2 linked regions of the Stegostoma tigrinum genome follow. The protein of the gene in region 2 binds, or shares a complex with, the protein of the main gene of each other region. Links are inferred from orthologs where the notes say so. Each region holds a gene or a part of one and is shown on either strand. Other genes may lie near its edges.

Region 1 (8,816 bases), on a different chromosome or scaffold from region 2:
ACTTTTCCTGTGACATGTCACAAATTCACATTTTCTCTCTCTCTCACGTTTCACAATAACATTAGACTGTGAATTCCTTGCATGACACAATTAACAATATGTCAGTAACCTCATCAATTTGTATTGCTTATTTCCCAAAAAATGTCTGAGGTAGTTCTGGCAAGATCTATTTGTTAGCTGTTATTTATCTTCCGCAAAATGACCATGACTATTTCACAAATTCTCCTCCCCTAATTACCCTGTAATATAATTCATCCATCCCAGGAGAATGGCATGCCTAGGGCTTACATCAGGAAGTATCAACTCTCACAAAATCAACAAGTGAAATACATTGCTAAAAATAGTAGGCGATAACAAGTCCCTGGAATTTCTTAAATGGTTAAATGCTGCAGTAGAAAGATCATTGAGACTTGGCTTTCCGGAAAGGGAAAAACAGGGCCTTATGTTTTGAAGAATGTGAAGTTATTTTAAATGGTGAGAAACTATTAAATAGCTCAGAGGGAAGTGGTACCCTTGCACAAAGTTTTACATTTAGCAAGTAGGTTTTATCCCGAAGCATATGTGCAAACTTCATTTGCATATTTGCTGTCTTTAATCAAAAATTAATATTGTTTACATCTATTTAAAGGTTCAGTGGAAAACGGAAGCAAGTATGCTAGGCAGAACAGAATCATTTCAAATACAACTTTTCAATTTTCCCAGAGAGCCAGTCTTGGTATTGGTATTCAAAAATATTAGAAACATAACAGGCCCATTAGTAAAGACAAACTGATGTTCAAATATTTGATCTAAAGATTAACTGGTCTTTCCAAATACATTGGGAATGTTGAAAATACAGTTAGGACAAGGAGCAAAAACAGAAACTGCTGGAGAAACTCAGCACATCTAGCAGTATCTGAGGGAAGAAACTGGATTGAGTGTTTTGAGTCAAGTGACCATTCTCCAGAATCCACTAGTTCTAAAGACAGCTCACTGGACCCGAAATGTTAACTCTTCTTTCTCTCCACAGATGCTGAAAGACCTACTGAGTTTCTCTTGCAATTTCTGTTTTTGAATCAGATTTCTAGCAATCAGTAGTTCTTCATTTTAACTGAAGAGGAACAATGAGCTGCATGACTCCTTGACCCTTCTTTGCCATCCAACATGATGGTGGTTGATCTTCAGCTTCAATTCAACTCTCTCCACTGATCTCCACATGGCATTAGATTCTGAAGTCTCACCACCTCAGCCTTCAATATGCTAAACAACTGAACAACCACAGCCCTGGGGGGGGGGGGGGGGTAACAAATTCCAAAGATTTACAAACTTCCAAGTGACAGAATTCCTCATCTTAGTCTTAAACGGCTAACACCTTATCTTGCAGGTACTGTATTCTCAAGTTTCTCAGCAACCACCTGAACAAACCCTCACAATCATAAAATTTCAAATGAGATCACTTCTCATTCTTATAAACTCTCAGAAGTATAGGCAGGTTCTAATCAATCTTTCTGCACAGACTTTGATTTTTGAGTCAATGTAGTGGGGCTTCATTTCAATTCCTCTAACACACACACACACACACACCTTTCCTCAGATATGGTAATCAGACTCCAGATTCCACATATGGTTTAACAAAGCCCCATACAACTGCAGCATAACTTCACTCTCCTCACAGTATGCCATCTGTCTTCCTAACTGCGTGCTGTACATGAAACTTTGTGTGTCCCATGCAAGGCCACTGCATCTTTCTCAATTATTAACAGTAACTTATTTTTAAAAATATACTTTATTTTCCTACTAGAGAGTGAAAACCTCATTTCTCTCACATTTACTCTATCCAACGCCTTTTGCTCAGTCACAACCTAATTTATTTGCAGATTTTGTTATTTTGTTACAGCTTACTTTTCAACGTAGCTTTGTATCATCACCCGAGTTGGTCACATTACACAGTCCTTACAATCCTTGTAACATTAATGACTTGGGTGCAAACAATGACCCTTGCAAGTATTCTGTTAGTAACAGGCTGCTAACATTAAAAAAGGTGTGAAACAAATGCTGGAGCAATGTGGACAGAGTTACTGCTTCAAATCCAGCATGACTCTTCAAAGACCTTTGTAATCCTAATCGAATCTCTTTAGCCAAGGGTCTGCCCACATCAGTGTGGCATTCTAACTTGCCAGGCCTTAACTTGTGCAAAACATCTTTCCTGGAGCACGTTTTAATATCCAAGAACACTATATTCTTTGGTTGTCCTTCATTACTAACAGGACGCTTGCAAGGCTCATTGCTTTCAGCCAAGTCATTAAATGTAACATGGGCTGTAATGTCTGTGCAATATGGTCAAGTCCGATGATGCAAAGCGACATGAAAAAGTAAGCTGGAACAAGGTGACAAAATCGTCATTAACCCTGCCAGTCACATCCTTTAGACAGTTCAGTGTTTTTTTTCCCTTAAATATATGATTGACTGCACTGGCAGTTTACAAATTGGCCAGTGCTAATTTGATACCGTTTTTGGTACACATTCTGGAGAAGCAAGCTTAAATGTTTGCCGCAAACTTCGAGACAGGGATGAATGAAATGATTAATTTTAGAGTGTGCCGTCAAAACCATAGTCGTTTATCACAAAACACGTGGAAAACATGCAAACCGACCATGAAATGCCAGCCTCTCCCTGTGCTTTAATAAGTCACCTTTCCCCAGAGGGAACGGCCCTTACATTGATATGACCTTACCCAGCAGAAGCAGACGGTGCGTTTGCTTGTACTCGCGTTTCTGTTCCTTCAGGATTTTGTCGATGTATTTACTGACTTTCTTCGCCTCCCTCTCCGCCTCCTTCTCCTCCGCCCGCAGCCTGTCCCAGTTCTTGTTCTGTTTCTCGGAGGCTGCTTTCTTAGCGCCGTGTTGCCGCTCTCCGCCGTTCTGTTGCGGCTGCCAGTCGCGGAGCCTGTCCGTGTCCCTGCGCTGAGCCTGGGGCTGGTGACCATCGCGCAGCCAGTCGGAGCTCCGCGGCCGCTCCGCCGTGTCCCCCCGCTGCTGGGCTGGGGCTGGGGCCGGGGCCGGGGCCGCCGCCGCCGCCGCCGGAGGCTCCGAGTCCGGGCTGCTGGTGGACACTGACGCGATGGGGTCGCTGAACAGCCGCGGTCGCAGGCTGTAGCACATCCCCATGTTTCCACAGACACAGGCAAATACCCCCAACACAGGGCCTTGAACAAACCGCTTTGATCAGCGCTTCATCCTCACGCTTCCCAATCCCACCCACCAAAATGCAGCTGGCGCTTACTGTCCTTTATCTCCCACTCCCACAACCTCCTCCCAATTTTCCCCACCCCCCCCAAAAAAAACACAAAATATAAGGAAGAGACAGAATGGTTTAAAAACCCCAATGTTCCATTGTGCACAAGCAGATACGGCGTTCGAGACTCGTAAATCACCTGATCCCAGTGGCCAGTGGTCCACCTTACCGTAAATCCTCCAAACACACAGCCCAGCTCCTGGAACCACAGCCAAACCATTCGACCTTCTCCAACCTCATCTCCCCTCCCCAGCACTTCATTTATCTTCCCTTCAATTTCCTCCCTTTTCTCCTGGTGGACCTCGCTTGTCCTCGGGAATCATTTTTACTTGGAAGACGCACAAGTCACTGGAAGACCACACCATTTGTACTGATTTATTTACAGCCTCATGAATTCCGTGGAGGAATAACACACCGCCGTCACGATCGACATAAATATTACACCCCATGACAGAATATCTTTTGAAACTCCCCTCAAATCGCTCCGAACCCCCTTACTGTTTTTCGTAAATCATAAGCTACACCAAAGAGGAAACTGGTGCTCGAAAGGGGGAATTCTTCTGAGTGAATGATATTTTGGGTTTTAAAAATAATCATTACTTGACGGTGGAATTTCCTTCATTACTCAATCCAGCTAAAAACGGATCTCGGTGTCCTGAATACAAAAATCAAAAAGGCCTCAAGCAACAAAAGGTTTTTTTATTTCCCCCCACCAGAGAGAGAGAGAATGTAACTAGAAAATACAGGCTTTAATGTTGCTTTTGACGGGCATTTAAAACAACCAAAAAGTATAAAAAATCCGATTAGTAATCGAGCTGAAAATTACAATATGAAATACAGATGGGTAAATACTTCACAGAATGATCCTGAAATAGCGGAGCCATGTAGGTATAACATTATGCAAAACAGTCAAACATAACTGCCATTTAAAAAAATGTGCTGGAGAAACAGTTGACGTTTTACGTTCAATAGGGCTTTTCTTCGGAACCCGAAATCATATTAGACATAAAATGTTAATTCTATTTCTCGCTCTCCACAGATGCTGCCAGACCTGCTGAGATTCTCCATCATTTTCTGTCCGTATTTCAGATTTGCAGCACCTACAACATTTTGCTTTAATCAAAGATAACTGATCGTGTTTTAATTTTTTAATGAAGTCTGGACCATCAAGACCTCCTCTCGGGTGCTGTCTGACCTGCTACCTGTGTATATCCAATATGTCACATCTGCGTAAGGTTGAGGATTGGGGGGAAAGTACATTTTGGAATTTCACATATTTATCCTGGCGAGCAAGGAAGTGTTTTGTACAACTTTCAAACTTATTTAATTGGTGTAATCAATCTAGAAATCATATCAATTGCGTGAGGCAGATTATAATTTTGCAATAAGATATTTCCGACACATTTCAAGCACAACCACTTGTAGAGAAGTGCCTTAAGTTTAGACATTGTTTAATTGGTTGGGGTTACAGAAGTTTATAAAAGAGGCGTGGTATCTTTAGAAATATCATGTGACTTGTTTAGTATTTGCTATGGCACCATACTCCTGTTTGCTGTAAACACAGTTAAGTGTTGAGCCCGATTTTGCTGTTAATTCTTTTTTTCCCGTGAGGCTAATAGTGCTTGCAATTATTTGTGAATGAATCGTGCAACAAATTCAGGAGAGGGGCAGGTGTATAGCTAAATATCCAAACGAGTTTTGCTAGCGAGTCACTAGAGTTGCAAACTCACATCCAAAATATCCAAACGTTGCCCCATTCTCTGCTAGCTTTGCGACAGAAGGCAATTTTGATTCCCTGCTGTTGACATGCCATAACATTGTTTTGCATAGTCGTCACTATTAATTTCTAAACAAACCCCACCAGATATTCAGCATATAAAGCAAGGATACCGGAAAAAACCGGAGCTGAAATATCCATCCCAGCGGCACTGAAAATATTGTCTGCAATCATTAGATGGAAACACAGGTGACAAGTACAATTTAATGTAGAGAAATGTGAAGCGATACATTTTGATACAAAGAATAGGTTAGGCAATGAGATAATTGATAGAATTGAGAAGCGAGTGCAGGAACAGAAATACCTACAATGTGTGCACAAATCATTGAAGGGGACAGGACAAGTTGAGTAGGCTGTTTAAAAACGAATCTGATGAGATTTTTGACTTTGTTAATTGAGGCATGGGTATAAAAGCAAGAAAGTTGTGCCAACCAATATACAGAAGTAGGTGAGAACTTTGCAAAGTTCTTTTGAGCCACTTTTCCTCATAAGACAATCTGCTCATTCCAGATATCAACCTAGTAACCTCCTCTGAACAAGTAAAGAGATTAAATGAATCTCTAATCCTGTAACTGCCTTCTGAGGCAGAATGCCAATGTCACAAAGTCAACTTCCCCAAAGTGCAGTGGTCTCCAGGGCATTGAGTAAATATAAGGATGAGATGGACAGATTTTTAATTAGTCACAGGTTGAAGAGCTATGGGGAGGGCAGAAAAGAAGAGTTGAGGCAGAAATAACCCCACAATCATATCAAATGGCAGAGCAGGGTTGAGTGGCTGAATTGCCCACTCCTGCTACTAGTTTTTCTGTTCTAAAACCATCAAAAATGTTTTACCTAAGTTCTAATAGGGAGGCCCCGAGTTTAAAACAATGATCTGCTAGTTCTGTATCCACCTGAGAGAAACCATCCAATCTGTGCCCACTTTGTCAGCAGTGTTCAGGATCTTATACACTTCATTAACTCTCCCCTCACACTCAGCTCCAATGAAAACAATTCTCTGCTGTGCAACTTTTCCTCATAAGACAATCTACTCATTCCAGATATCAACCTAGTAACCTCCTCTGAACAAGTAATGCATTTACGTCTGTCCTTCAATAAGGAGACCAAAATTGCACACAATGGTTTCACTCGTGTCCTGTATACTTGAAGCTTAATATCCCTAATTTTATGTTTCACTCAGTCTTTCATTAGCCTTATTTACTTGCTGCACCTGCATACTAACTTTTTGTGAGAAGTATGCCAGAACACCAAATTCCTCTACACCTCAGAATTCTTGAGTAAGTCTTTAAGTCAGTCTCAGCATTTCTGTTCATCCATTCAAGATAAAGAAATTTGCGTTTTGCTGCAGCATAGATCTCACATCTGCTTCTGGGATTGTAGGCTTAGTTAAAGGTTTATCACAGTTTTTATTTTGTTGTTATTGCAGTCATTGTATTTTAATAATAAGATCTTTATTCATTTTGTTTCATCAACATTTTAAAAAATCACAATTTAAATGAGATAACAAGGTGTAGATTTGGATGAACACAGCAGGCCAAGCAGCATCAGAGGAGCAGGAAAGCTGACATTTCGGGTCTAGATACTTCTCAGAAAATTTTCTGGCATTTTCGAAGAAGGGGCTAGACCCGAAATGCCAGCTTTCCTACTCCTCTGATGCTGCTTGTCCTGCTGTGTTCATCCAGCTCTACACCTTGTTATCTAGGATTCTCCAGCATCGGCAGTCCCCACTATCTCTGAAACTTTATTTTTAAACAAGTTTTTACGCGTCACAGTGAACAGCTAAGTTTTTTTATTCTAAGTTCAGAAGTTTAAAAATTGTATACATGTTTTAGAGGGTAATTTTCATATTACGAAGGTTTTGAGGGTTTTTGTTTACATTGCAAAGGCAATTTTATTGAAAGACCAAATTTTTTTAAAATACGAAGTTGTATTTTCATTTCAAGAGTTCTACATGTGGTTGGTTCTGGAGATGATTTTTTTTCTTCAAAGAATTTATTGGAGAGAAACTTTTTTTAAATTCAGTTAATCAACTAATTGGTTGATTTTATTTAAGTTTTTTATGTTTGATATATAGATTTTCAATTTTTTCCATTTTAATATTATTTTCTGGAGGTAGTTGAAAGTAGTTTATTTTACATACAAGGTGTTATTAAAACTTTTTTTAGGCTTAATGTTATTAAGGGCATAGATGAGTGAGATGGCTAGTAGATTTAGAAAAGTTACTACATAGCAGGATCAGTCAGATAGCTAGGTAACTGTCAGGAAAGGTGAGGAGGTGGTTCAAAAGTTTCCGGTGGCTATTCCTCTATCAAGTTGATATTCAGTTTTTGGAACTGTAGAAGGAGATAGTCTCTGTGAGGAAAATGGAAAAACCAGTCAGTTATTGGACACTTGGAACAATTCTTATGTTAGGCAGTGTTTCACAAGATTTAATAGAATTATTGTTATAGTGGACTCTCCTGTCTGGAATATAGACAGAAGATTCTGTGGCAGTGAACGTTAATTTAGATTTGTAGCTTTCCTGGTGCTAAGAATAAAGGCATCTCCAAACATTTCAAGCATATTGTTAAAGGTAAGATTGAGAAGCCAGAAATTATTGTACACATTGGTCGTAATGTCATTTTTAAGGAAAAGGTTAAAGCAGGACAGAGTGAATTTATGAGTTAGGTAGAAGATTGAAAAATAGAATCTTGAAAATAGAAATTTCTGGTTTACTCCAAATGCCAAACTCAAACAAGGGAAGGAGCAAAAGGTTAAAGGTTGAAAGGCTGAAATGTTGGTGTATTGTTCAGGGACTCAGGTTTTGGACAATTAGAAATTCTTTTAGGATCGCAAAGACCTATTCAAAAAAGGATGGATCTAACCTAAACTGGAAAGGGACCAATATCTTAGCAGGTAGATATCCTCATTCCTTTAAGGAGGATTTTGTTCTGATAGTGAGGGGGAGTGGAGAAATTCTAAGTATTATTTTAAACAGAAGGATTGAAAGGGAAGGTACTGAATGTGAGGAGAGCACATCAATTGGAAATCAAAGACAAGAGAAAATCAGAATGTGCAGTAACTCTGAGGAATAAATTGCAGTTATTTCAATGCAAGGGGTCTTACAGTTAAAGCTGATTAACTCAGGGCATGTTTAAGAACATGGGATTGGAACATCATGGCTACTATAAACTTGGCTGATAGACGGATAAGACTGGCAGGTCAATTTTCCAGGGTTTAGATGCTATAGGAAGCATTGTAAAGGAGGCAAAAAAGGAGGGGGGTGGAGGCATTTTTGATTAAGAAATACATTAGCGCTGTAACTAGTGAAGATATTTCTGAAAAATCATCCAGTGAAAATATCTGGGTAGAAATTACAAATAAGAAAGAAAAGATCACTTTAATGGGATTGTACTATGGTATCCCCCCCCCCCAAATACTAAGAGAAAAATTTATAAATAAGTATATAAGGAGATCTCAGATATATGTAAGCATAACAAGATTGTAATAATGGTGGGGGAGGTGGGGGCGTTACATTTTCCAAACATTGACTTGGTCTACCATAGTGCTAAAGGTCTGGATGGTGAAGAATTTGTCAAATGTGTTCAAGAAATTTTTTTTATCAATATGTAGATGCTCTTACCAGAGAAGGAATAAGACTAGACCTTTTAGCAATAAGACAGGGCAGGTCACTGAAGTAAAAGTCGGGGAGTACTTTGTGGCTAGCGATCATAATGCTATTAAATTCAAAATGTTTATGGAAAAGGATAACCTTCCATAAAACTTA
Region 2 (9,368 bases):
ATTGGTAAGAGCACTGGGTACAGGAATTGGCCACATTTAGAGTACCACATATAATACTAGTCACACTACTACAGAAGCATGTTATTAAATTGGAAAGGGTGCAAAAAAAAATGATAAGGGTATCACTGAGACGGGAGGGTTTGAGTGATAAGGATAGACTAGGACTTTTTTTTGTCTGGAGAGTAGGGGGCTGAGGGCTGACCTTAGAAGTTAATAAAACCATGAGGGGTATAGATAAGGTAAATAATAGAGGTCTTTTCCCCAGGGTGGGGAGTCCAAAACAAGAGGACGTGGTTTTAATGTTTGGGGAGAAAGATATAAAAGAGACCTGAGGGACACAGAGGGTGATACACATATGGAACAAGGTTCCAGAGCAAGTGATTGAGGCAAGTACAATTACAACACTTAAAAAACACTGATATATCTGTCCAATTAGGAAAGGTTTTGATGGATATGGGCCAAATGCAGGCAAATTGGACTAATTCAGTTCAGGAAACCTGGTCAGCATGGATGAATTGGGCCAAAGGGTCTGTTTCTTTGCTATATGATTCTCCCTCTACTAAGTCTCATAACTCTGATCTGGTCAGAGCCTCAATGTCACAACTGCCCTCAAGACTGGCTTTCAGCCATATCTACACATTATTAAAAATTCATTTTCCACCTCCATATCATATGGCCTTGCTCCAACTCTGCTGCTGAAATATACATTCATGCCTTTTTTCGCTTCGACACCTGACTATTCCAACAAACACCTGGCCACATGTCGACATCCAACCCTCCATTAACTTGAGGTCATCTATCACTCTACTGCCCCTATCCTAAGCCCCAGTCATCTATTACCCTCTGTGGTTACTGACCTACTTTGACTTCTGCTTAAGCAAGACCTCAATTTTAAAATTTATTAGTTTCAAATTCATCATGGCCACTTCCAACTCTGCAACTTCCACCAGCCCTACAATCCTGGAAAAAGCCTTACTCACGTTATTCTGCCCTCCCAAATATTTTCAACACCATTTCTGTCTGCACCTTGAACTTCTTTGGGCCTGAACACCGGTGTTTCTTCCCTACAAGCTCCTTTACCTCTCTTTCCTTCTTTAAAATCCCTTAAACCCAAGTTTTGAGCCAGTCTTAAGCCAACTGCTTTATCCCCTCAAAGTGTCATTTTCTAATGACACTCCACATCGTAATAACATCCTAATGATGTTATCCTCCCCTTGGCTGGGTGTTTTCTTTCTGACCATGTTGTCAATCACTCTGGATATTTCACTGTGTTAAAAAAGTGACATCAATGCATGTGGTCAGAATTATTTCAATTCCAACTTTTACTTTTCTGTGACTATTTTAAGAGCTAATACAGATGAATTCAAGGATTTTCCTTTTCAAGATATACAGGTCACTAACACCTTACATTAGGTTTTAAGCATTCACAACTGCTCACAATTATTCTGGGACTGCTGAAAGAAATCAGAGCTCTTTTTGGTTAAAAGGTCATTTGAATCATTAAAGGGGGATCACAGCAAGTCAGGGACCAAGATGAGAATTAAGATGGGGAAGAAATAATCAGGTGTCTTTTCTTTATCTTGAGAAAACTGGCACGGATAAATGGGTAGACGAACAGGAGGCTGGAAGAACACAGCAAGCCAGGCAGCATCTGGTGGAAAGGAAAAGTCAACATTTCGGGTATTACCCTTCTTCAGGACTGGATGCAGGGTAGGGGGGAGCCGCAATAAAGAGGGGAGGGCATAGCAGAGTGGTGGCGATGGGCGGACTCTGGTAATGGTATGATCTGGTTGGTCAGTGGGAGGGATGAATCTGATTGGTAGCTGGAAGGCAGGGTCAGTAGGTGGGGCTGGAAAGTTTATTTGAAATCGGCAAATTCAATGTGAAGTCCTCCAAGCTGTAGGGTGCCCAGGCGAAAGAGAGAGCGTGTTGTTCTTCAAATTGGCATTCCGAGTCAATGCGACATGGGAGGATGCCAAGGATGGACATGTCAGGGGGAGGAATTGAAACAGGTGATGACCGAGCAGTTTGTCTGGCTGTTACAGGCCAGACTAAGATGCTCAGCAAAATGGTCACCTAGTCTTTGTTTGTTCTCACCAATGTAGGGAAGACCATGTCAGGAGCACTGGATGCAGGAGACCAGGTTGGAGGAGATGCAGGAGAAAGTCTGTCTTACCTGGAAGGAATGTTTAGGGCCCTGTATGGAGGTGAGGTGGGTGGTGTGTGGGCAGATGTTGTATCTTTTACAGTTACAGGGATGGCACCACATGGGTGGGAATGGTTGGTGGGAAGTGGGAAAGGGAATGGTCCTTGAGAAGGCGGGTGGGAAATCAATGCAAGGGTACTTTGCAGCCGTTCTTGCTTACGACCAGAATAACATGAACGTGATTTATCCCAATGCTAGCTTTTTCAAGTCAGGTTTGTTCTTTAACTGCAACGTTGTGTTCTATTTCTGGGGTAAAGGCCCGAGCATAATTCACGGGATGATGCCAACCACCTCTATCCAACCCCATCTCTTGCCCCGGTCCAAAATCAAAACGGAGTCTTTCCTCCTTCTGGCGGCCAGACATCCATCCGTCCGATCCTTCGCTTTCTTTAAAATAACCAGGAAACACATTCTTTTTTGCTACGGATTGCTTTGAGGCAACAACAGCGCTTTGCTTTCGACAAGCAACGACCCCTCCCCACTGCGTCGAGTTCACTTTCATTCCCCTCTGCACTTTGTAAAAGAAAGGCCGCATAATAAATCGCCTTTTGTTCAGCTCAGCCACGGATATGCTGCTGTTTAAGTTCCTTATGAAGAAGTTTGAAGAAATAACAGTTAACAGAAGCAGTTTCCTTTTTTAGTCTCCAAACCACATACTGAATTAACTCACCAGCTCCCTTTGTCTCCTCAACTCAAAGGAACTTCGCTGCTTTCACTTTTTCCTCTTCATCCCTCGCTAAGTAAAATTTTCATTAATGTCAGGTCTCACCTTCTGCACGCACTCCATTCATTTATATGTTTCCAGATTTGTTCATGTCTTCTATGAGGCTTTTTCCCCCCTCTCCCTCTTGTTTGCTCTCCCGCTTCCCCCTCCCAAAATCCTGCGTTGCACAAAGCAGCGGTGGTGTGCAATGGCGCCGGGCTGAGAGACGATCCTAGCTCACGCTGTGGGTGGTCTGCCTCTCAAAACACTAGACAAGGGGCACGCAGTCAACACAAAACGAGCAAACTTTTCCACTGCCACCCGGGAACCGGCCCGACACAGCAATCGGCCGCCCTGTTTTCCCTTTAAATATCAATTTCATACACGTTTCAAAGTTTTTTTGTGTACAAGTTTGTGAAATACGGAACCGCCCCGTTCCTCCTCCTACATTTTCTAGACAGGGTGCAGTTAAATGTAAGGTTTCAAAAACTCCTTTTTCCCCCCCACTCGGTTTCGCGAGACCGCTCTGTCCACTTCATGACTAACAACTCATTCAGCACCCAGCGAGATCAAACATTCCCGCAAGTTTCCACACCCCTTCCCGTGTTCCCAGGCACACCAATCACAGCAGGGAACCCCCATAATTTATGCTACTATGGCGGATCATTATTCACGTTTCTACGTACCCCGATTGCCGTTTCCCCACTTCAGCCTATCAAGGCGAAACTCACTTAATCCTCACCACAACATTTTTAGTTAATCGGCGACCCATTTCAGTTATTGATCGGCTGGTTTAAAGTAGGATGCAGAGAATATATAAGATTTTAGTTTATTGAGCTGACTACTTGAAGAGCGCAGTCCCTTTGCTTTGGGTTGACACATAACAACATTAAGGTGCGGGAATTCCAGGATTTCGACCCGGTGACACTGAAGGAGAGGCACAGGAATCGCTTGTAGCTGGTAGAGTTTCCGTGTATCTACTGCCCAAATGCTTCTGTGTAGAAGTGGTTGTGGGAGCTTGGAAGGTGCTAAGGATCTTCGTACTCAGAATTAGACAGCACCAAGGCAGTACCACTTTTTGAAAAGGCAAACCATAGGTTTAATCACAACATAATTTAACTGTTTTGAGACAGATCATTCTCACTAATGCAAACCAATTTGATTCAAGAAATATTTCTGTACTGGCTTAAAAATGCACTGCAGTTTATTTTAATGTTACTGTGTAAACTTGGATGACTGACATTAGTTTAAGCTTCTTGATTTTAAGATTTATTACAAACCCATTTGACTGTGTTATCATAAAATTTAAAAAATATATACTTGTAGCAGAGTACTCATTTTCAAACTGAAAGGCCGTCCACACAAAATTGTAGAATTCCTACTGTGTGGAAGCAGGCCATTCGACCTTTCGAGTCCACACTGACCGTCCAAACAGCATCCTACCCAATCCCAGTAACCCCACATTTTCCATTGCTAATCCACCTAGCCTGCACATTCCTAGACACTACTGCCAAGGCAGAGATCGACAAATTCCTGATCTCACAAGGAATCAAGGGCTATGGGGAGTGTGCAGGGAAGTGGAGTTGAAATGCCCATCAGCCATGATTTAAATGGGGGAGTGGACTTGATGGGCCAAATGGCCTTACTTCCACTCCTATGTCTTATGGTCTTACATGGTTACACACAAATTTGGGAGCGAGTTTTTCATTTCCTCATGGAAAAGGACAGAATCTGCTTATCCTTTAAAGGATTTCTCATTGTGCCAAATAATCTTATTTTGTCCTGATCTAGTGAAGGTCTCTATTCATTTTTGAATTACAAATATTGCAAAATGAGCTCTTATCGATAATGTTGCGCAAATATTTGAGACAGTTACTTTGCAACAAGATTTTATTTTGATTACTGGCTTATGAGTACATCAGCTGAATTTTCTGATCATTCTGCCTTGGAATGAGATTGCAGATTTGACATGAATATAAATTAGATATCTGTCCAATATCTACTTGATTAAACGCGAGTGTGAACTAGGTACCTGTTAAATATTGGCAAATTAAATCTTTCCTGGCTATGTAATAAATGTCATGTTGTTGGAATGACATTTAAGACCAATCAAGAAAACAAAGCATGTTACTTTATTTCCACCAGCAAAATGGCAGAAAGATCCAAGACCATGAAACTGATGCTTATAAGTGATATGATAACCTAATGGTGTGTTTGACAGTGAATACTACTGAGCTTTAATCTTACATTATACTTCCTTCATTGATTTTTGCCACTAACTAGATTAGCTTGATTGGGAAAATGTGAGGAATTGCTCCTTCAGATTTCCATTTATTGCTCAAAATAGCTCACTGCTCAACAATTTTAAGTTTATTTAAAAATAGGTCAAACTCTTGTCTTCAGCCATTTCTAAATTTTCCTTCCACAAAACAATATAAAAAGAAATGTACTTCTGAAAGACTGACAACTCATTCCAAACCTTCTAAATAATAATAAGGTGCACAACATCAGCACTCTGCCAAATAGCTTGTTTTTGAATCATGAAAATTCAGCAAAGTGTACATTCACACAAATATTTATACTTAATGGCATAAATAATAAACAGCAACTTTAAGAATGGAGCATGTGTCACAACTCTTCAAGACTCATACACAATCACTTCATCATAAGACATTTTCATCATGTGCACTAATATCTGTGCTTGGTACATTATACACATCAGGTTAATTGAATTTATACATGGCATTAAAATCACAACGTTTTCTAACAGTACCCAAAACTAACTTGTAAGACTAACAAGAGGGGCTAAGTGAGACAAAAATACTTCATTTCACTTAATAAATAGTCTTATTTATTTTAAGGTTTTGTGGTGTCACTGCAGTTAAGTTCAAGTATCATACAGCTCTTTCATAGAGCTATGAAATTAATCCCAATATCCCAATCCCTCCTCTTACAAAAGAAAACTCCTTGCAAATCTTCCATGTTTAAGTCTCTCCAGTGGGACTTGACTTTTTACTGTACTATTACAGCCAGGCAGATTGTTGTACTATCAATAAAATTAAAAGCTACTGACATGGTAATCTTATGTAAAATCAATTTTGTAGTTGTCATTCTTTATTGAACAATCATTTTAGTTGCACTATATGTCCATACCTCAGGTATATACTGGTTCTCAATATCAAAGCACATTTTCTATCTATTGACGTTAAAAGAATAATACAAATTTGGTATCCATTATTAAAATGCTGGTAGCTATAAATAGTTGCACTCACCAGCTGAGGTGAAAACTTCAGTGCAGTTCAATGTTTAGGTTACAGCCAGAGTTCTTCAATATAATAGTTTTTCCCCTCCACTTTTTTTTAAACAATCGTATTGGATCCAGTCTCAGTGTACTGATGCATATAATTGAAATAGTGCAAAGAATAGCAATTTTTAAAATCCTTATGATTGTAACTTTTCAAGTGGCCACATATTGGCTTCGAAGTACACCAGGCATGAAATGCATGCAATCCAGTTTTATCATCTGTCTTTTGAGAAAAATCAGGTTTACTGACGACAAATTGAAACATGACAAGAACATCAATGAGGGATCACAATTTGTGGAGAGGTGGAATGGAACAAGAAAATCATCGGTTGACCTCAGACAACAGTACTCAGATTTAGTATCCAATTTAGCAGGGGAGGCCAGGGTACCTAAATCTGAGCAAATTATCAGAAAAATTAGCATGAAGATTCCACAGATGTTTACGGCCTGGATTTTAATTTATCCAGAAACGCAAGGGAAACAAACAGCCTATCACCAAAACTTCCAATTTCAGCAGAGGCCCTGCTTGACAGAAACAGACTGTCTGCTGTAATTCTGGTGAAATTAGAGTTGACATACATCAACAATTCCAACGAAAACTCTGGTTAAATGATAAACAAAAAAAAACTGCACAAATTTAATGGGTCTGTTAGCATCAGTGAAAAGAGAAAGAGTTAAAATTGAGACCAATATTTTTTCTTCAGATATGAAGAAATTATTGCACTCAACAGATTAACTATATTTCTCTCTATTGATGCTGCCAGATTTGTATTTCTCCTAATCCCACCTCCTGGCATGTATTTGCTATCCATTCGGACACTCTGTTCTCTGTTCAAATCATGGCACAGCAGATGATAGAATTTTCATTCAATAAATATCCGGAATTAAGACTCTAAAAGGTGACCGTGAATCCATTGTTGATTATCAGAAAAACCCATTCCATCCACAAATGTCCTTTAGGGAAAGAAACTGCCATCCTTACCTGGTCTGGTTTACATGTGACTCCAGACCCATAGCAATGCGGCTGACTCTTAACTGCCCTCTGGGCAATTGGGGATGAGCAATAAACGCTGTCTAGTGGCGACACTCTCATCCCATAAATGATGAAAGAATGCTGTGCTTAGCAAAGGTCTTAAGTTTTATTCCTCTGCATTCCACAATGAATTTCAGGTACAACTGTCCTTCTGTTGCCTTTGCCTCCACACACATTTCCATGCACAAGAGTATCACAGACCCTTTCACCCACCACCAAGATTCTCCCTCCAGCATTTTACCGGCACTCCACCTGTTCATCATGAACTGTCGACATGAACTTGGTTGCCTCAATTTGTCTGCCCCACTCTACGTAACTTACCTATTCAAACCTCTGTCCCTCTGAACTGACTGCACTCTGTGCACTCAGACCTAACCCTAACTTTGTAATCGAGCCTGACCGCTAGGGTGGCTCTATTATTGTCTGGTGGACTGATATCTGCATTGTGGAGGATAAGCACCAGCTCTTATATCTCTTCCTATCTTCTCCTGGACCATGACCCCACAACTGAGCACCAGGCAATTGTGTCCACAATGGTCATTAATCTTATATTATCTTGGTGATCTCCCTACTCCCTGCCAAAAGCCTCTAAAGCTCATAGACCCCAACACAATACAGCCAGCTTCTACCTCCTTCCCAAAATCCACAAACAGGACTGTCTGGGCAGACCCACCATTTCTACCTGCACCTGCCCCAGAGAACTCATCTCTTCCTACACTCCAATTTTACTCCACTGGTCCAGTCCCTTCCCACTTGCATCTGCAATTCTTCTGATGCTTTAAATCTGTTTCAGAATTTCCAGTTCGCAGGTTCCAACCACCTCTTCCTTACCACGGATGTGCAAACACTCCATATCCATCCCCCATCAGGATAGTCTCTGCTTTTTCCTGGGGAAAAAAGCCTGAACTGTCCCCATCTATCATCATGCTCCTATACCCAGCTGGGTTTGTCCTCACATTGAATAACTCCTCCTTTAACTCTGTAAACTTTCTTCAGATCAAAAAAGTGTGGCCATGGGTACCAGTTATGCCTGCCTCTTTGCTGGGTACATGGAAAATTCCTTGTTACGCTCTTATTCTAGCCTCACATGCAATGCCTTCTCTAGTATATTGCTGACATCAGTGCTGCTTCCCTCTTCACGGAATTGGAAAAGTATATCAATTTTGCTTCCAACTTACACTCTGCTCTCACCTCTACCTGTCCCATCACACTCATCCCTTCCCTTCTTTGACATCCATTTCCATTTCTGGGGATAGACTAGCAATATCCATTATAAACTCCAACTCCCACAGCTACCTTGATGATACATCTTTGCACTCTGCTTCCTGTAAAGGCTCATTTCATTTTCCTAGTTCCTCCATCTCCATCACATCTGTTCCAATGCTGCCAACTTTGACAAGGGGGTCCCTGAAATATACACCTTCTTCTGAAACCCAGGATTCCCCGGCCGACAGGGTCTTCAGCCAATCCATCTCCTGCATTTCTACCCTCATGCCCTCACTTTCCTGCCACAAGAGTAATTCAGTCCCCTCATCCTCACTTACCACCCAAACAGCATCTACATCCAAAAGATCATTAGCCACCATTTCTGCCACCGCTAGACACATTCACTTCCCCTCTTAATAGTTTTCCACAGAAACCGTTCCCTCTGGCCCTCCTTGGTCCACTCCCGAATTTCCCACATCACCACAGCACCTTTCCATTCAAATCACAGAAGGTGCAACACCTGCCACTTACTTCCTCCCAAGGACCCAGACACCTTCCAGGTGAATTAGCAACTTACTTGTACTTTGTTCAATTTAATCTTCTGTATTCACTGTTCATAATGTATTCTCTTCTACGTTGAGGAGAGGAAACCACTTTGTGGAACACATACGTTCTATCCGCAAAAATGACCCTGAGCTTCTGGCTGCCTGCCATTTCAACACATCACTACGTTTCCTGGCCAACGTCATTGTCTCAGGCTTGTTACAGTGCTCCACAGAAGCTCAGCAGAATCTGGAAGAACAGTACCTCATTTTACATTGGGGGCCCCTACTGTCTTCTGGACAGTATTGAGGTCAATAATTTTAGGGCCTGAACATCATCTCCATGATCTTATCCCTACCCCCACATACCAGAT

The links.
Region 1: the proteins of gpr161a (region 2) and guanine nucleotide-binding protein G(olf) subunit alpha-like are in contact, whole or in part, in a cryo-EM structure (PDB 8KH4), measured with the Homo sapiens proteins. The link is inferred for Stegostoma tigrinum from reciprocal best matches to the Homo sapiens genes GPR161 and GNAL. Residues at the interface, in NP_001254539.1 of Homo sapiens: Arg125, Ala128, Val129, Leu130, Pro132, Met133, Tyr135, Pro136, Met137, Ile139, Ile211, Val214, Ala215, Lys218, Ala219, Lys267, Ala268, Thr271, Trp327, Asn328, Lys329, Arg332; in NP_001135811.1 of Homo sapiens: Ala41, His43, Lys203, Val204, Phe206, Phe363, Cys366, Arg367, Asp368, Ile370, Gln371, Arg372, His374, Leu375, Gln377, Tyr378, Glu379, Leu380, Leu381.

What each region holds. Positions count from the first base shown.
Region 1 is NC_081358.1:116,701,987-116,710,802, reverse strand, and holds the start of guanine nucleotide-binding protein G(olf) subunit alpha-like, read right to left. Parts: upstream 3,408-8,816; 5' UTR 3,147-3,407; coding exon 2,714-3,146; intron 1-2,713. UniProt on the Homo sapiens protein: Guanine nucleotide-binding protein (G protein) involved as transducer in olfactory signal transduction controlled by G protein-coupled receptors (GPCRs).
Region 2 is NC_081365.1:41,729,439-41,738,806, forward strand, and holds the start of gpr161a (G-protein coupled receptor 161), read right to left. Parts: upstream 3,495-9,368; 5' UTR 2,998-3,494; coding exon 2,976-2,997; exon of another isoform or gene 2,877-2,975; intron 1-2,876. UniProt on the Homo sapiens protein: Key negative regulator of Shh signaling, which promotes the processing of GLI3 into GLI3R during neural tube development.